2 linked regions of the Pelodiscus sinensis genome follow. The main gene of each other region encodes a partner of the protein of the gene in region 2 in a complex. Links are inferred from orthologs where the notes say so. Each region holds a gene or a part of one and is shown on either strand. Other genes may lie near its edges.

The links.
Region 1: the proteins of GNAI2 (region 2) and P2RY12 are in contact, whole or in part, in a cryo-EM structure (PDB 7XXI), measured with the Homo sapiens proteins. The link is inferred for Pelodiscus sinensis from reciprocal best matches to the Homo sapiens genes GNAI2 and P2RY12. Residues at the interface, in NP_002061.1 of Homo sapiens: Arg24, Glu28, Ala31, Arg32, Leu195, Glu319, Ile320, Tyr321, Phe335, Phe337, Asp338, Ala339, Thr341, Asp342, Ile344, Ile345, Lys346, Asn348, Leu349, Lys350, Asp351, Cys352, Gly353, Leu354, Phe355; in NP_073625.1 of Homo sapiens: Phe59, Asp121, Arg122, Lys125, Thr126, Pro129, Phe130, Thr132, Asn134, Pro135, Ile212, Leu216, Ser219, Tyr220, Arg222, Thr223, Arg224, Val234, Lys237, Ile241, Leu301, Cys302, Lys303.

What each region holds. Positions count from the first base shown.
Region 1 is NC_134720.1:27,022,011-27,031,925, reverse strand, and holds the start of P2RY12 (P2Y purinoceptor 12), read left to right. Parts: upstream 1-6,152; 5' UTR 6,153-6,287; intron 6,288-7,709; coding exon of another isoform or gene 7,710-7,841; intron 7,842-9,651; coding exon of another isoform or gene 9,652-9,815; intron 9,816-9,915. Other genes in the region: MED12L (mediator of RNA polymerase II transcription subunit 12-like protein), read right to left, coding at 981-1,208, 7,710-7,841, 9,652-9,815. UniProt on the Homo sapiens protein: Receptor for ADP and ATP coupled to G-proteins that inhibit the adenylyl cyclase second messenger system. Not activated by UDP and UTP. Required for normal platelet aggregation and blood coagulation.
Region 2 is NC_134721.1:45,346,406-45,356,156, forward strand, and holds the start of GNAI2 (guanine nucleotide-binding protein G(i) subunit alpha-2), read left to right. Parts: upstream 1-5,461; 5' UTR 5,462-5,522; coding exon 5,523-5,640; intron 5,641-9,751. UniProt on the Homo sapiens protein: Guanine nucleotide-binding proteins (G proteins) are involved as modulators or transducers in various transmembrane signaling systems.

The DNA.
Region 1 (9,915 bases), on a different chromosome or scaffold from region 2:
GAAAGAATGAACTGACAGGAATGTTAGTCTATTTTCTTCTCTGCTGTTGTAAGTACTTTCCATTTAGAGCCCAGATACCATGGACCAATAGGAACATAAGAAAAGTCAGACAGGTTCAGTCCCAGGCTCCATCTAGTCTAGTATCCCGTCTCAACATCCACCGGCACTAGATGCTTCAGAGAAAGGTACATAAAGCCCCATAATGGACAGCTGTGGGATCTCATGTAGGTCTCACCTACATCCTTAATAAGAAGAAAAATGGTTTAAAACCCAAAGCAGGAGATTTTATTTCCCCTCCAAAACTTTTCTTTAATGAATTAGCTATAACAAACCTGGATGTCCATTTAAATGTTCAATCCCTCTTTTAAACTAAGTACTTGGCCTCAACAATATCCTGTGGCTAGGAGTTCCATAAATTAATTAATTAATATAATAAAATAATATATTTCATCTGGAGAAGGGAATTGATCAGTACCCAACACTCCTTGAAAATGAGGATACTGTCAGGATGTGATGATAATTTTGCTGAGAGAGCAATCCAGTGTCAGAATCCTGAGAAATGGAGAAAAGCATAACAAGTCTCCTCTTGCTAGGAAGCTAATAATTGTACCTTGTGTCTTACAAAACTTTTCTTGTAATTTTACATATAGGCTGCTATTTATATTATTTGGTGATGCAAAGAAGCCTACACCTATTATTAATCCTCGTAATGTTATGCAAACCAGTCTGATGCAGTCTTGGTGAAACCTATTCTAAAGAATTGTACAACTCTGAATCGGGAAAAAAACAACCCAGGAAATCTGTCAATGAAGATAAACCAAAAGAATACAAAGGGAGAGGAAAAAAGGGGAAGGAAGGACAACATGCACATAAACAGCCCCAATTAGTTCTAATAATATCCCAGATACTTCATTTCACTGAAGCACTAACCCTTATTTCAATTACTTCTATAGTTCTATATCTGAATCAATTTCTCTTACCTTAGTGCATCTTGGTGCCCCATACATACATTCATGAGTGCATTACAAACAAAGCTGTAGCGATTGGCTGCATTGTCACTCAGGATCTTGCCTAGTATCGAGTAGTTGATGCTATGAGCAGAGGGATTCTCGATAAAATCCAACATGAACTCGGGATCCCATAACAAGTTGGAGTTTGAGGGCTGTACATTGCTGTATATGGTTTGCTTTACCTTTGAACAAGCACTACTAAGGGTTAAAAACAGGAGAGAAAAAAACATTGTTCACATGGCTTGAATTGTTGAAATATTGATACAGATTAAAACAAGATTGCCACTAAGTATTACTCAAAGAGTTCATCTAATAACTGTTAAATCCCATTGGCTATGTCAACACTGGCCCCAAATTCCGGAAAAGGGATGCAAAGCAGGTAAGTCAGAATAGGGAAATCCGCGGGGGATTTAAATATCCCCCGCGGATTTAAATAAACATGTCCGCCGCTTTTTTCCCGGCTCGGGGAAAAGCCGGAAAAAAGCGTCTAGACTGGAGCGATCCTCCGGAATAAAGTAGGAATAAGAGATCCTCCGGAAAAGGGCTTTATTCCGGAGGATCGCACCAGCCTAGATGCTTTTTTCCGGCTTTTCCCCGAGCCGGAAAAAAAGCGGCGGACATGTTTATTTAAATCCGCGGGGGATATTTAAATCCCCCGCGGATTTCCCTATTCTGACTTAACTGCTTTGCATCCCTTTTCCGGAATTTGGGGCCAGTGTAGACGTAGCCATAAAGTCTATCTTATTCTCTTTGGAGGCACTGCAGTGCACAACTGAGATTGCTCTTCTGGACACCATTTCTGAAAATTTGATTAAGTTTTCCTGAAGCAATAACATCAACTCACAAGTTTTTATACCAGCTTTGTGATATGTTTATTTAAAGCTTGAGCAGACAGATCAATCAGATCAAACCTTTTTCTGGTAATGATTTCAACACAGCATAACATAGCCTTATAAATATACACTAATGCTGCTTCTTTGCATTCACAACTTACTGAGTTAACTGGAGTGTGTGCGGGTGTAAAATTTCAGAATTTGACAATTTTTAAAAATAAAAAAAACCTCAGCAACCTAGAAAGATAGGTTTGATAATAGCTTTTTAATTATTGTTACAATGAACTGGATATCATCTTTGATTTCTTGACGGTCACTATCAATAAACAGAAAGAGAATATGAGAATGTCATGCTTTTGTGACATTACCAATACACACAAAAGAGAGGCAGTATAGGCTCAGGGTATTAACATGTTAGTGGACCTCCTTCAGCAGGAGAAAAGCTATTGTTCCTAGAAAGCAGATAAGAACATATGCAAAGATCCCAAAGAACATTTACATTAATTAATGAGATGCTGGCTCTGACTCCATAGTTAAGGCCCTATTTACATCAGTAAGATTAACAAAATTCAGAAATCATCTTAAGAGTTCCTTATGTCAATTTAGTGGAATCTGATTTGATATAAAACACTTAAGTTGCTTACAGAAAGTCTACAGAGGGGTTGCACTGATCTAACTAGATATGTGTAACTCTGGAGAAATTACAAAGAAAGTAAACTCTAATACAAGTTGGGGAAGAAGCTATCAGATCAGATCAGAAGTATTCGTGGGTCAGAAATGGATGTGATCCCCAGGGAAATTGATGCTTGGTCCTGCCATGGGTGCAGGGGAATGGACTTGATGACCTCTTGAGGTCCCTTCAAGGTCTATGATTCTGTGAAATGGAGCTCAGACACTGGGATCAAATCCTTCACAGTAAGTCTTCAATTCAAAGTTAACTCAGGCTCTAATTGGCATATTGCCCTCAACCCTTGTCCTGTACAGAGATGAAAACACTAAACTTGGGGTCAGGTTTTCTCAGATTAGCCGGCTTGTTTCATGCTAAAGGCTGAGTGAGGTTATTATACAGCCTGGAACCCTACTCACTTTCAGTGAGGATGTATCTAAACTACTGAAGTCCTCCAATGCCTTCCCATAATTCCTCCACAACCCCAGAAGGACAGATGCGTTGTTTCATAATTCACTGAAAAAAATCACAGAGTGGCTTAGCTTACTGAAGCAGCAGAGAGAGCTATGGGACATGCCACCAGAAGTCACTCACATAGGTGAGTGCAGCACCAGTGAGGACACAGTAATGTAGGTGTGGTGTTGCAGTGTAGCTCTTCCTCCAGGCTAGGCTAACCAAGACAACTACCCATGTTAACTCTGCAGTGAAGGCTTAACATCAGAGGCAGGAATTTTCTCATGATGAGAGCATTTAATTTCTCCTGCAAATAAAAGTTTCTTTGCTTACCAGAAGCTAGGTCTAGTTTAGTACTGTGGTCAAATTTAGTACTGTTTAGCTCCAATTTAATTTCAAATTCCATTTTCTAACAAACTTGTTTTCATTTAATATATTTTAGGTAATAACTTCTTCTTGGGATTTTCACCGTGGTCCACTCTGAGGATATTAAGTATTGAGTAATTTACTAGTTGAGTAGTCAATGGAATTTTCATCAACTACTCAACTAGAGGATAGGCACTTCCACATTCCTCCTTTGAAATGGAAATGGCAGCTGATCCCAGGATCTGTTGTGTGGTGCTACCCCATAGTGGCAGCACTGTAGGGAACTCAATACAGGCTCCATCTGGTGCTGCTGCTTTAAGTACCCCATTTCCCCCCCCCCCCCGCCCTTGCTGCTTCTATTTGATAGAGGCAGCGGGGGGGGGGGGGGGGGGAGAGGGGAGATCGACTAGTAGACTCGACTATCTGACAAGCATTTGCTTATCAGATAGTCAACTAGTCCTTATCATCCTTAGTCCATTCTCAAAACTAGGGAAGATGAGTTTCTGATTGCGGAAGAGAAGTGGAAAGACCTAATACAGGTTGCACCTCCCTGAACCAGGACTCTCTGATCTGGCAACATCTATGGTCTGGCAGGGCTAGCAGCAGCCTGGCAGGGGAGCCAAGGCATCATGAGTAGGAGGACTGGCAGGAGAGCCAGGTCTGGGACTGCACAGCAGCCCAGCAAGGGAGATGGGGCCCATGGTAACCTGGCAGGGAGGCCACGCAAACTGGGGAGCCATGGCCACATGGCACCCTGGTGGGGGGCCAGAGCTGCACATGCCAGAGAGCTGGAGCCAAAGCCAGGGTCATGCACCAGCCCAGCAAGGGAGCTGGATCCAGAGCTACAACGGTGTGACAGGGAGACCGGGCTGTGGCAGCCTGGCAGGGACAAGGGGGGGGGCAGCAGCCCGGCAGAGGAGCTGGGCCAGGGCTGCACAGCAGCCCTCAGAGCTGAGACCGTCAGCAGGCAGCCCAGCTGGAGCCTTCAGCAGCATAACCGGACAGGGCTAGAAACTGAGCCAGTGGAGGATTAAAAAGCCAGCAGCAGGGGAACCTACCTTGGCCTGGAAAATTCTCTCATTCAGAACCGGTCAGTTCCCGAGGGTGCCAGATCAGGAAGATCCAAGCTGTATATACTGTGTGTGCTACTGTGGCATAGTAGAGTCATGGCTGCTCTGCTAGTAGCGCCACAGCTTTGACACTGCCTAGAGTTTTTCTGTGTGAATTTGTCACAACCCTGAGTGCCAGAGGTGCATTCTCACCTAATTTCTAAGCATAGACCAGGCCTCGGTGCAAACAAACTGCACCTCCCCAGGAGCGGTTTCCAAAACGCTGGCGAGGCGCGGGAGAGGGAACACAGATGCACTGAGAGAGTCAGGCCACTACTAGAAATTATAGGAACAAGAGGCCATCAGTAACAATTGTTTCTGAATTTTTGCCTTTTTTCTCATTACCTCTTCCACAACCAGAAAGAATTTAAATGGCCATTGCTCCACATGGCTATGGTGTTCAATTGTATATTACAGAGACAAGCTTCATTAGTCTTTTGGTTCATCACTTGTTGTCATCTCCATTAGTATAAATGGGATACACATAAGGAAATCCAGACCTATCATATCACACAAGCACATTATTCAAAGTATTCTCTAATCATAGGACAATCAATAAAGAGAAAGGATGAGGGTAGCAACATTTGTCTTCTTTTTAAAAAATACAAAAAAATAAAAATAATCAAGCCTGAAGTTACAGAATACCTTGAAAAAGTCCCTCATCAAAAGCTCTTAAGCCAACTAAGCAGTAATGGGATAAGAGGGAAAGTCCTATCATGGATCAATAAGAGGCTAAAAAATAAGAAAATATCCTGTGCAGTTAAAGCACAACATATTTATCCATTTACATCAAATAAGAACCAAGGGTCAACCCAATGAAATTGATAGGCAACAAGTTTAAAACAAATATAAGGAAGTATTTCTTCACACAATGTACAGTCAACTTGTGGAACTCAATGCCAGGGATGTTGTGAAGGTCAAAACTATAACTGGGTTTAAAAAAAAGAATTAGATAAGCTCATGGTGGAAAAGTCCATCAATGGCTGTTAGCAAAGATGGTCAGGGATGCAAACCCATGCTCTAGGTCTCCCTATGCTTCTGACTGTCAGAAACTGTCAGTCTAGAAAGAGTCTACGATGGACTGGATGACAGAGGCTGGATCACTTGATAGTTGTCGTTTTCTGTTCATTTCCTTTGAAGCATCTGGACATGGCCCACACCTCACACTGCCCGCCCCCGCAATAAGTCGGTACTGGTGGAATTGCAGCATATAGCAGTGAATTCACTCACTAGACACACAGTGGTTGGCCCTTTCACAAGTGGTGCGGGAAGAAGGGGAAAAGTTCATTACACTTCAACCCCCCAGTTACAATCTGACCATAATCTAACAAATGTCAGTGTCACCTCAAACCTAGCTAATATATGTAAAACAGGCTTATGGAATACATTCGCTTCCTGAAAAGCAACATGGTACACATACAATGCAGCAGAAGGCCATAACCAGTCAATTAGAGACTCGCATTGTACTTTCAAAACACCAGACGCCACTCAGGAGCCTAAATCCTATTGAGATACAAATGTCCTTTCCTCTAGGGTGCTTTGAAAATGGGACTTAGGTACTTTTTATACAAAATCTATTCTACGGATTGGAACACAAAACTGGATTATTCTTCTTTTCTAATGGTCACAGTACTAGCCATATCTTAAGAGAGTGGATTGGCAAACTGAGTTTCTGACGTGTTATGCTGAAGGAGTGGTCAGATGATCAGAAACATAAAAAAATGTGAAGAGACAGTTGAAAAAAAGGAAGTACAGTGAACATTAGCATGCAAAACTGGCTGAAAGCCTCAGCAAGCTTGTTCAGGATGATGCCAGAGAAACCCCCTTTAAAACCTAAAGTCAACAGAAGGTAAGAATTGAGCATAAAGTGAATGCTTACTTAAATGAGGCATTGTAATTTATTTTGAAATTTACTACAAAAGGGAACCAATGGGACCTGCAGTGTCATAGAAAGCAGCTAAAGGAATGATTGGGAATAGTTAACTATATTGTGCACTATACATGGTAAGGCAGCTCCATAGAATAAACTAGTATTCTGCTAGTAACATATGCACCCTGCTACAGTGAAGGAATCCCTGTATTTCCTTATAATTACCTGTTTTCAGAGGATTTGTATTTTAAATCAGCCATTTCTAATTACCCTGGACAGGAAACCTGTTATAAAAGTGCTGGGTACAAATGCAGTTAGAACTCTCATGTTATTACCATGCCATTTTAAAATATTATAGAACACCAATAAAATATATTTTTGTTTGTGGGGATTTTATTTTGTGTTTGTTTTGAGGGATGGTTGTTGCTATTTTATATTTTCTATTAAGCTGTAACTTTTGTAGTTGAAAAATATGAGGATGGGGTTAGCAGTAGAATAAATGTACAGTTATTTTACAGTTAAACCATCTATAGTTAAGAAGCTACCGTATATTTGATAATTTTTTACTAAGAAACATTGGAGAAACACTGTTCATGTGCATTTATAAAATCCATTTACAATATCTGCAAGTTCTCTTACTGAGAACTCTCACAGATACCTATGCAATACAAACCTCAAACATGAAACATGCAGATCAAAACCACAAGGATAAATGAAAAAATAATTGTGACTAAGCTGGCTTGTAACTTTCACAATAAACAAGCAAACAGATAAAAGTTCTTTTTCAGAACAGCCACAAATTCTGACTTTTGAGGTCTCTACAGTAAGATTCCAATCCAGAACAAGAAATTGAAACTTTGGCAATGTAGCATCTCAAACTACACACTTTTTGTTGTCCCTCTACCTATATCTAATGAAAGATTTAGTGAGCAGAGTACTGCAGAATTCATTCTCTTCAATGCTGGTGTAGCTATTACTGTTAATTTACAAGTATATTAAAGAGTATCTTACATTAATCAAAACTGAACTGCAATGAAGGGAATTAAACGACTTTGCTAGCATTGTGTATGAGCACAGGCACACTTCTCCACCTGGGTCCTTCCTGCACTAAGCTCCATGCAGGTGGACCTGTGGAGCCTCAGGACTTCAGTGGAGTGTCAGTGGACACAGAAGTATGCCTGCTGTGTTCAGCACTCAAACAGTATCAAGACTAGGGCTTTCAAGTTGAAACAGTCTTTTGTAGGCAAAATGGTTCCCAAGTAAGGAAAAGGAAAACCAGAAAGTAGAAAAGATGTGTTTGCAAGAGCAGATAAACTGAACTGAAAGATAATTAATATAACACAGAAAGGCGGGAGTCAGCTTTTTAGTAATTTTAGTTTGTAACAGCTTTGTGCTACTAACCTGAAAAGGTCCCCAAATTTGCTTCGTAGGTGACTGCATGATACATAGAGATCATAGAGGTAAGCTAAAATGCATCTTTCAGGGGAAGAACACTCTGATGGATTAACAACATGCTTGACAACACCACATAATCTGGGAAAAAAAATCAGAGATTAATTCCCAACTCAGACTTTTGAAAATGTATTAACTGTTCATTTCACTTGGAATGATCTCTTGCAACATGTTAATTTCTTGTCTTAACAACCTGTTCCACCTTGCACTCAACTGTGAGTACTTTTCCCAGACCAGAAGAAGATCTCTGCATAAACTCAAAAACTTGCCCCCTCTCACCAAAAGAATTCCATCCAATAAAAGATATTACCTCACCCACCTGGTCTCCCTAAAATCTAATTATGCGTTTTAACATTATAAAACTAGCATACCCATGCCAAGAATTAGAAGATGGTCTATGTCCATATAAAAGTCAAAATGGATGCCATTTTTATAGGTATAAAGGGTTTCATTGGAAGCAAATTTTCAAATTTTCAGATGAAAATAGTAAAGCGTTCAGAGTATTTTACACATATGGGACACAATCCTGCAGCAAATTACGTACAAGGGGAGTCACACTGACTTCAAGAGGGCTCCATACAGGCCACAGAGATGTGCCCAAACAGAGCTCAATGCATAATCTGGGCCATGGAAAACAGATCAAAGTTTTACAGCCTGGCACCAGTGCTCCCTGCAAGGTGTGTACTTCTGAGACTGCTAAGGAGAGACTCCAATGATGCCCAGCTGATTAGCAGAGCACCCACAGCTATGTTTTGTTTCTACTGGTAGTGGTCAATCTGCACATTCCTCGGGCGCATAAACATTTATTTTGCACATGGACAGAAAAAATCTGCACATGGATAGAAAAGATTAGAGGGTGCCTTGTACCCTAAAGACGATGATATAAAAACGTGCAACAGTTGCTAACCTAGCACATCACAAGTTCACTGTGCACAAAGGACTAAACATTTCACACTTTAATTTGGCTTTGCTCCAATGGAATTCAGTTTTCATCTAGTATCTCTGTAATAGTACATGGAAGCAAACATTTCCCAGTTTATCTGGCTCTACCGTGATTGTCTATAAGGCACTGTTGAGGAAGGAAGGTCACAGTATTCTTTGCATCAATGATTTTATACTGAATCATTACCTACTGTACACCCTTACTGCCACACTTAAGAAGTCAGTGTGTTCTACACCACCTGTCATTTATACACTGTAAGCTTTTGAGGTAAGGACTGTCCTATATGAGGTTTGTATAATGCCCAACCCAGTGGAGCACTTGGGATTAACTTTAACCCAAAGGGGAAAAACAACAACAGCAAACTGTTACACTACTTTTGAGTAAAATATTCTATAAACTACTCTCAGGCATATATCTAATAGGACAGATAAATACTGCAAATCTCAATGAATATTTAAAACCAGCTTATTTAAATCAGTTCAAAAATCTGAAGAGAAACTATTGCACTGTGTGTAAATAATTTTTAATGGAAACTGATGTAAAATCTTTCTTATAGTGTTTTATCAAGTTAGCTTAAGTCAATTCCTCAATCACTTAAGTTTAAACTAAACAAAAACACTCACATTTTATTTTTTGTGATAGTTTAAACTTTTCCTGAGCAATTTATAGCAATTCAGTGTATACAGCTGACACATATTTTAATAGCTCAAATGCCAGTACAATACAAGAAAACATGTAGATGGTATCATGAGCTTTCGTGGGCACAGAAAGTGGGCTGTGCTCACGAAAGCTCATGATACCATCTACGTATTTTGTTAGTCTATTACGTGCTACCAGACTATTTGTTGTTTTTTCAGTTTACCTGTATAGACTAAGTTGGCTACCCGCTGAAGTATAATACAATTTTAATTATGCAATAAACATAGAAAAAATACAGCGGCTACAAACCCTTCAAAAACTTGGGCAGTCTGCTCTGGATTTAGAATTAGGCAGGCATGGTAACGCCGCAAAACTGCAACAATGCACACACATAATCCTGTTGTGTAACTTCCTGCCAGGCTGGATGACTTCAACAGTAGTTCTGCTTCCACAACACTCAGTTCATTTAACAGCTAAAGTAGAAGACAAATATTGAGTGTCCTTTTCCAAATTAAGCTACACAAAACATTTCCAACAATCATAAATGAGAAAAGCAATAGAAACATCACACAA
Region 2 (9,751 bases):
ACCAGAGAGTGCCGGACGAGGGAGGTTGCTGGACCAGAGAGTGCCGGATGAGGGAGGTTGCCAGACCAGAGAGTGCCGGACGAGGGAGGTTGCTGGACCAGAGAGTGCCGGATGAGGGAGGTTGCTGGATCAGAGAGTGCCGAATGAAGGAGGTTGCTGGACCAGAGAGTGTTGGACGAGGGAAGTTGCCGGACCAGAGAATGCCGGACCATGGAGGTTACTGAACCAGAGAGTGCCGGATGAGGAAGGTTGCTGGACCAGAGAGTGACGGACCATGGAGGTTACTGGACCAGAGAGTGTCGGATGAGGGAGGTTGCTGGACCAGAGAGTGCCGGACCATGGAGGTTACTGGACCAGAGAGTGTCGGATGAGGGAGGTTGCTGGACCAGAGAGTGTCGGATGAGGGAGGTTGCCGGACCAGAGTGTGCCGGATCATGGAGGTTACTGGAGCAGAGAGTGTCGGATGAGGGAGGTTGCTGGACCAGAGAGTGCCGGATGAGGGAGGTTGCTGGACCAGAGAGTGCCGGATGAGGGAGGTTCAACCTGTAGTATGTGCCGGCTGGCTCGCCCTGGGGCTGTGTTCCTTTGTGTTACTGGAGCAGTGTGAAGCGCCCAGAATCGGGGTCTGTGAGGCCAGCGGTGTGTCGGTGCAGAGAAGCCGGACGAGTTTTCCCACACATGCCCCACAACACCCCTACTACGGATCCCCATGGAGTCTGTGCCAGGGGGCCCAGGCGAAAGGAAGCAAAGGTGGCTGGAGCTGGCTGTGCACCGCCTGGATCCTAGGCGGGCTGGAGGCTGCAGATGAGAGCAGCCCTGCGGGGGGGTTGGACGGGGGGGGGTCAGCCCAGGTCCTTTGGAGACTCACCCGCCCTCCCCTGCCTCCGAGGCGGGCTAAGTCGTGGGTGCGAGGGCGCCGTGCTGGCAAACGGACCGAGGACCGCACGGCGTGGGCTGGAATCCGCTCTTGGGCACCCCAAAGGGCCCAGCTGAGGCAGGGCGTGCTCTCGCCCGCACTAGAGCTGGGAGCCCGCCCGGCATTTGCGGGAGCCCGAGAGGCGCTGACCGAGCGGGGGATGGCTCGCGGCGCAGGCAGCCTGCAGGGGCAGCGGGCGGTCTGGGCTCCGGCCCTGCGAGACACTTTTGGGTGGGTGGCGCGGGCTGAGAAGCGTGCTCTCTCCCTGGGAGGCTCTTCCTGCCCGCCGAGCCGGCCCGTGGTCACGGACGAGGCCGTGGGCATTCTTTGTTGCCTTGTGTTTATTTACAAGGAACTTCTTAGCAACCCAGCATTTGCCTCGCCACCTGGGTCAGAGAGCGGCACCGCAGCTCCAGAGCACTCCCGTCCTGCAGGCTGGAGACGGATTGTTTGGGCTTTTGTTCCCTGTAATTAGAGGCTGGCAAATCACTCATCAGAAATATTTCCAGAGCTCTGCTCTCCACCCCCCCGAATGTGCTTCCGCTGTGGTTGGGCCTGTTTGCATTCGCACACGGATTTCCTGGCAGGAAGGGACACCGAGTCTCTGCAAACGCGGACTCGACAGTGCTGGATTCTGACAGCAAAGCTCGTCCGCGGCGGGAGGGGAGATGGTGCCACGGGATCCAACGGCGGCGCCGAGCCAAGCAGCCCTCGTTTGCATATTGAATGAGGACAAGGCGCCCGCGGACAGGCCGAGATCGGTTTGCAGGGCTTCGCCGCTGCACAGTTCTAAGCCACGCGCTCCCCTCTGACAATTCAAAAAGGGAAGAGAAGGCAAAAATCGAGGTGTTTGTGCCAGTTGATTCTCAGCCGGGGGCCGTGAGCAGATGCCAAGGGCCTGCATCCACCCCCAAGCACCCCCTAGGCCCCGCCGCGGGGCCATCAAGCCCCAGAAGGGACTGGATTCCGGTCAGTTAGAAAACGAGTGCCTTGCTAGAGTCTCCAACTCGGCCCCTGGGCAAGCGTGCCCAGGAGAGGGGGCGGACTCCCCAGAGATACTTTCCATGCTCTTCGGGCCAGAGATGGGCCCCAGCAGCCGCCGTTACGGCGTTAAACGTCGCAGCCCGCGGTCCGGAAAGCGATTTGTGCGAAATCAACGACCGGCCTGGGCACAGGAACTTGAGGTGCAGGGGTGCTACAGCACCCCTGGGCTCCTGGCCTAGTGCCCAGAGTCCACAGGCCGGTTACCTGCTGCCTCCTGCACGCCAGGGACCCTGCTGCCAGACCTGGGTGCTCGGGTCCCGGTTTGAACCCAGTGTACTGGGGGACTACTGCTGCTGGCCCCTTGCCTGGGGTCCTGGCTGCCAGCACCCCATGCCTGGCTGCTACCCCATGCCCAAGGGCCTTTGCTGCCTTGCTGCCTGCCTTGGGTGGGGGTGGGTGGAGCTGAGGGTGCTCAGCACCCCCACTTTTAAAATGGTTTGCACGCCACTGCCTCCAGGGGGTTCAGTTCTGAAAGACGAGCGCCCCGCGGTGGCCGGAGAACAGATAGTCGCTAGGCCTCAGTTACCAGGCTGAGGTCAGCGGTGCAGCCTCCAGAGCAGCGGTCCCCAACGCAGTGCCCGCGGGCGCCATGGCGCCTGCCGGGGCACTTATGTGCGCCCGCATAGTGATCAGGGCCGGTCCAAGCCTTTCTCGCGCCCCGGGCACATGGCGCATGCATGGTCCCCGCCCCAGGTACGTGGTGTATGCGCGGCGCCAGCCCTGGGCATGCTGCCCACGTGTGGCATCAGCCCCGCATGCACAGCACACTCGCAGCCCCGCCCCCGGGTGCACGGTGCACACACAGCCCCACGCCCGGGCACTTGGCAGCCCCAGAAGGTTGGGGGCCATTGCTCCAGAGCATGGATGCGCTGCCCTGCCATATAAAGGCTTCTGTCATTATTGATGATTCCGGCATGGGAAGGAGAGTCCGGAATCCCGGTGTAAGGCACAGCCGTTCGGACTGGGGTGTTAAGGACTAGTTAACTCTCCGAGAAGCGAATGCTGACTGGATAGTCAGTCGACTAGTCGGTGTTCCCCGCCCCCTGCCTCTATCAGACAGAGGCAGCAAAGGGGAGAAGACAAGGTATGGCACAGTGGCAGCGCCGCACAGCTGCGCCCGGGATCACTGCTGAGAGTGGAGCCAGGAGTCCCCAGCTGACCCTGGGCTCTGTGCGGCAGGCAGCGCAGCATGGAGCCCGGGGGCAGCGGAGGACTCGGAGCCCCCCCTGCTGTCTCCAGGCTCCATGCTGCACTGCCGCTTTGAAATGCACAAGAGCCCCCGCTGGGCTCCCGCTGGGGACTCTCGTACATTTCAAAGCTGGCACCTGCGTGCAGCCCGAGGTGAGGGGGCTTCCCGCCGGCCCCGGGTGCACATGGAGTGCCGCATGCCTCCTTTGAGATGTACAGGAGCCCCCACTGGGCCCTTGCTGGGCTCTCGTACATTTCAAAGGAGGGATGTGGAAGTGCCTAGCGACTAGTGGATGGAAATTCCTTCGACTAGCCAACGAACCGCTCGTTAACACCCTTCGTTCGGAGCAGGGCCGTCCGCAGCATTGCTTTCGAACCCCACCTCTCGGCCACTAACCTGACCAGCCCAGGTAGCCGGAGCAGGGGTATGACGTAGTGGGGGCTGTCCACTCTGTTTGGGCATGCACCGGGCGCTCGGCGTGGGCTGCGGGTGACCCCTACTGGCCTGCATCTGTGAGCACTGCCCAGTGGGGGGGCGCCCCGGCGCTCACGTCTTCTAGACCATGGCCCAACCGGTTCTCACCTGGGCAGGGAAGGGGTCTGAACGAAGGGAGGGGGCAGTTTGGAGAAGGGGCAGTCTTGGCTGGGAAAACACGAAGAGAAGAGACTGAGCCGAGTACTGGGGGTTCAGGGGCCTGTGGACCCGCCCCAAGGGGTCTAAGGCTACCTGGCCCTGACTCCTATATCCACGCCCCGCCTATGCTGCGCTGTGTCCTGGAGAAGCACTAACCCCTCTCTGTTCTGGCGGAGTCTCATCTTGCTGCAGATGGGGTGCAGGGTCAGGGGGTACCCGATGCGCCGTCACAAGGGGCTACAAGCTAGTGCTTGTTCTTGGTCGGGTGGAACACGTGAGCCGGTCTGGGGGCCCCTCACGGCTCCGGTGCCTCTCTTAGTGTAACGTGTAAAATGCTGCTGGAACCATCACGGACAAGTCCACCTCCCCCGCCTCCAAGATCGTTTCTGCAGCTCAGTAAGGATCCGGAGCCAAATTGGCCACTGAGGACATTCTAGCGGGCTCCTGGGAGCAAGAGCCAGGATGGGCTTGTGAGGCCCTTTCTCCCAGCACCTGCGCCGGCAAAAGGTTCCTGTTGTTATTCACAAGCCCAGAGATTTCCCCTCTGGCCAGCACAGTGGGGACACGCTCTCGGTCTCCAAAACCTGGGGGGAGATTTGGGGCTTACAGAGACGGGGAAGGTCCAAAGGGCCCAGCCCAGAACAATGTCCCCAAACCTCCCTTCTGCGCTACACGGAGCCATCCCAGCCTGCCCAGCTCCATCTTAACCCAGCACCGCCCACGGCCCCCCCGGAGTCCCTCCAGAGCCTCTGAGCAGCCCGCTGGGCCGCCCGTCTCTCCCTGTGGAATCAGCCCTTGCTTCCAGCCGCTGGGAGCTCAGCCTCAGGCCCCGGCAGGTTTTCGTTCAGCCCCAGCGCCTGGAGTCAGGTGCTGCATGAGAGCGTTCACCATCACCAAAGGAAGTTTCTAGTTGTCGGGTTTGTGGGGAAAGTGCGAGTCAGTGGTTCAAAATCCACAAGGCAACTAAGAAACCCCACGTGTGTTAAACCAGTCCTGACAGTCTATGGCTGGGGACTGAGGACATTGTAAGTGCAACCCGGCCTCCCCGCTCGCTGCACCCCAACCCCCCACAGAGAGCCCCCTGCTGCACCCCAACTCCCCACAGAGAACCCCCCGCTCGCTGCACCCCAACCCCCCACAGAGACCCCTGCTGCACCCCAACCCCCCACAGAGAGACCCCTGCTGCACCCCAACCCCCCACAGAGAGACCCCCGCTCGCTGCACCCCAACCCCCTACAGAGACCCCCGCTCGCTGCACCCCAACCCCCTACAGAGACCCCCGCTCGCTGCACCCCAACCCCCCACAGAGAGCCCCCTGCTGCACCCCAACCCCCCACAGAGAACCCCCCGCTCGCTGCACCCCAACCCCCCAGAGAGAGACCCCCGCTCGCTGCACCCCAACCCCCCACAGAGAGCCCCCTGCTGCACCCCAACCCCCCACAGAGAACCCCCCGCTCGCTGCACCCCAACCCCCCACAGAGAACCCCCCGCTCGCTGCACCCCAACCCCCCACAGAGAACCCCCCGCTCGCTGCACCCCAACCCCCCACAGAGAGACCCCCGCTCGCTGCACCCCAACCCCCTACATGGAGTCACTTTGCCCCGCCCCGCCCCGCCCACCAGAAGCGCCCAGACGGCCCCGCCCCGCCCCTGGCCCCGCCCCCGGCTCGGCCCCGCCCCGGCAGGGCTCGGCGCGGGGCGGGCGCGGGCGGGCGGCGGAGCAGAGCTGAGCGGCCCCGCCATGGGCTGCACCGTGAGCGCCGAGGACAAGGCGGCGGCCGAGCGCTCCAAGATGATCGACAAGAACCTGCGCGAGGACGGCGAGAAGGCGGCGCGGGAGGTCAAGCTGCTGCTGCTGGGTGAGCGCCCGCCCGGCCCCCCGCCTGGGGCCCCCCCCGCCCCGGCATCGCCCCCCCGCCCGGTGCCCCCCGCCCCGGCATCGCCCCCCCGCCTGGTGCCCCCCGCCCCGGCATCGCCCCCCCCCCGCCCGGCATCGCCCCCCCGCCTGGTACCCCCCCGCCCCGGCATCGCCCCCCCCGCCTAGTGCCCCCCCGCCCGGCCCCCCCCGCCCCGGCATCGCCCCCCCGCCTGGTGCCCCCCCGCCCGGCCCCCCCCGCCCCGGCATCGCCCCCCCCCGCCTAGTGCCCCCCCCGCCCCGGCATCGCCCCCCCGCCTGGTGCCCCCCCGCCCCGGCATCGCCCCCCCCGCCTAGTGCCCCCCCGCCCCGGCATCGCCCCCCCGCCTGGTACCCCCCCGCCCCGGCATCGCCCCCCCCCGCCTAGTGCCCCCCCGCCCCGGCATCGCCCCCCCGCCTGGTGCCCCCCCGCCCGGCCCCCCCGCCCGGTGCCCCCCGCCCGGCCCCCCCCGCCCCGGCATCGCCCCCCCGCCTGGTACCCCCCCCGCCCGGCCCCCCCCGCCCCGGCATCGCCCCCCCCGCCTAGTGCCCCCCCGCGCGGCCCCCCCCGCCCCGACATCGCCCCCCCGCCTGGTGCCCCCCCGCCCCAGCATCGCTCCCCCCCGCCTAGTGCCCCCCCGCCCGGCCCCCCCCCGCCCCGGCATCGCGCCCCCCCACCCGGCCCCCCTCCGCCCCGGCATCGCCCCCCCGCCTAGTACCCCCCCGCCCGGGCATCGCCCCCCCCGCCTAGTGCCCCCCCGCCCGGCCCCCCCCCCCGCCCCGGCATCACCCCCCCCCGCCTAGTGCCCCCCTGCTGGGCCCCCCCCCGCCCCGGCATCAGCCCCCCGCCTGGTACCCCCCCCGCCCCAGCATCGCCCCCCCCCGCCTGGTACCCCCCCGCCCCAGCATCGCCCCCCCCGCCTGGTGCCCCCTGCCCCGGCATCGCCCCCCCCGCCTAGTGCTCCCCCGCCCGGCCCCCCCGCCCCGGCATCGCCCCCCCGCCTGGTACCCCCCCGCCTAGTGCCCCCCCGCCCGGCCCCCCGCCTGGTACCCCCCCACCCCGGCATCACCCCCCCGCCCCAGCATCGCCCCCCCCACCTGGTGCCCCCCTGTCCCGGCATGGCCCCCCCCACCTGGTACCCCCCCGGCATGGCCCCCCCCGCCTGGTACCCCCCCTCCGGCATCGCCCCTCCCACCTGGTACCCCTCCGGCATCGCCCCTCCCACCTAGTACCCCCCAGCATCGCCCCCCGGCCCGGCATCGCCCCACCCGAACTCCCCCCCCCCGCATCGCCCCCCCCGCCTAGTAACCCCTCCCCCGGCATCAGCCCCTCGCCCCAGCATCGCCCCCCCCGCCTAGTACCCCTCCGGCTTCATCCCCCCCCTCCCGCCCCGGCATCGCCCCTCCCGCCTGCTACCCCCCCAGCCGGTGCCCCCCCTGCCTGATAACCCCTCCTGCCCCGGCATCGCCCCCCGCCCGCCCCCCCCCCCCCCGCCTGGTACCCACCCCGGCACACCCCCGCCTGGTACCCGCCCCGGCCTGGTACCTCCCCCCCACCCCGGCATCGTGACCCCCCCCCGCCCCGGCATTCCCCCGCCTGATAATCCCTCAGCCGGTGCCCCCCCTCCTGGTACCCCACCCGCCTGGTGCCCCCCAATCGGTACCCCCCCCCGTGCCCGCCCCGGCATCTCCTGCTTGGTGCCCCCCCCGTCCTCCCCGGCATCCCCCCGCCCGGTGCCCCTCCTCGCCCGTCCCGGGTGGTACCCCCCACCGCCCCAGAACCCCCTGCCAGATACCCCCCCCCCCCGGTGCCCTCCACCTGGTACCCCCCCCACCCCGGCAGCCCCTGGCCGCCCTGCCTGGTACCCCGCTCCCCAGCATCCGCCCCGCCCAGTACCCCTCCCTCCAGTCCGGTACCCCCCCGCCCCAGCATCCCCCCCTGCCTGGCATCCCCCCTGCCCAGTACCCCTTCTTCCAGTCTGGTACACCCCCTCCCGGCATCCCCCCTGCCCGGTACCCCACCCCGGCATCCCCCCCCCCGCCCAGTACCACCCCCTCCGTTTGCCCTGGCATCCCTTCCCGCCCCTCCTCCAGACCGGTACCCCCCCTCCTTGTCTGCCCCGGCATTCCTCCTCCCCTTTCCCAGTCTGGTACGCTCCCTGCCCCTTCCCCAGTCCGGTACCCCATCTCCCCAGCATCACCCCCCTCCCCGGGTCCAGTACCCCCCCATCTGCCCCTCCCCCAGTCCAGTATCTGCCCCAGCATCCCTTGCCCTGGTATCCCTCCCCAAGTCCGGTAACCACTCCCCCCCCTCCGGTCCAGTATCCCTCCCACGCCTGGCCTGGCATCCCTCTGCCAGGTACGGTATGGCTCTGCCCAGTCCAGTCCGCCTGCCATCCCCGCACCCCGTCCGGTCTGCCCTGCTCCACCATCCCCCACCTGCTCCAGCCTGGTATCCCCACACCGTCTGGTCTGCCATCTCTCTCCAGCCCCCCACCCTGCCACCCCCCTCCCTGCCTGGCCTAGGTGAGCCCTGCACCCTGGCTGCGCCGCCTGGCTTCTAGCACCCTCCAAGATGAACCCCCCAGCCCAGCCTCTCCCGAGTTCCCTGCCTGACTGGGGTACATCCCAGCATCCCCAAGGCTCCCAGAGACCTGCCCCCCAACACTCAAGTGCTCCAGCCCACCCAGTCACCCTGTGAGAGCCTGCACCCCTCAGGACCCCCAAATGCCCCCCTGCACCTGCTCCCCAGGCAGGCCCCCCTAGAGACAGACTGCCCCAGGCACACCCGCCAGATACAGCTCCGGCCTCCACCCCACATGTGGCAGCCCCCACATGCCATGGGCCCCCCAGCTCCTCTTCGATGGAGTCCTGGACCTCAGCCCTGCGTGTACCCCACCCCCCTTTCCTCTCCCTGCTCCCCCACTGCCCTCCCCTGCCTGGTAAATTACCAGTTCCCATCCCACCCCTGCTCTGCTGCTCCCTGTCTCCCCCAGACAGCCAAAGAACCCCCCCAGCTGCCCTATCCCTCTAGGAAGGCAGCTCCTCCCCCCCAGCTGCCCCTCCCTCCCAGAGATCCCCCATTCCCATAGCCCTACCCATCCAAGCCATCTCCCTCTCTGAAGGCTGGTCTGCACTCCAGCCCCCCTGCCTCTCCAGCCGGGCACCCTCCTGGTGTTTTCCAGCCCCCTGCCCAAGTGACTGCTGGGGGAGGGTACCCATTTGGGGGGGGGGGGGAGTTGGTGGAGTTAGGGAACTCCTCAGCTGTGGGGGGGGGGGGTCGGAAAGACGGTCTCCCAGCCCACTTTGGGGAGGGCGCTGCGCTCGGTGTGGTGAGCCCCTGTGTGAGCCGTGAGCTCAGCGGGGGGGCGGGGACACACGGCTTGTTGTTGATTCTTGGTTCCCCTTTTTCTGAAACTCTTGGCACGCGGACTGCGCCCGGATAGTGCCCTGCGCCCCCAGGGCGCCCAGAGAGCGGGGGGGCTTGTGTCTGTAGCCCTGTGTGCTGCTCTCCGCCTGCACCCGGTAGCGTCACGCCAGGCGAGAAAGCGCTGAGTTCAGAAGGCCCTGCCCACCCTCGGGCTTGGGGAGCGGGGGGAAGCCATTGGCTCGGCAGGGCCACGCGAGCAGGGGCTGATGGCTGTTGCATGGCGCGCGTCCCCTGGAACCACGCTCCGGCCGGCCGGACGCTGGCCCCGCTCGCTCGCTTCGCCCGGTCCAGCCTGCCTTGACCGCTCCTGAAACGTTCTCCCGCTTGGCGGCGGCTGCGAACGCAACAGAGCGTCGGCCCGCCCCGGGCTGGGGGCCCGCGCTTGGCAGGCGGGCGGCTCGGCTCTGCTTTCTGGCGGGGGAGCAAAGCGTGTTTCTGTGCCCAGTGTTAAAGGGCCTGCCACCGCCTGAGGGGTGCACCCCCACGGGAGGGGGAGGAGAGGAGGTGATTAGGAAGGGGAGGAGAGGAGGTGATTAGGAAGGGGAGGAGCACGTGATGGCAAAGCAGTCTAGAAAATGTCTGACCTGCGGAGTTTTGAAATTGAGGAACCGGTGGCAGGAAGCAGTGGGGAAATCAGGCCGGCTCA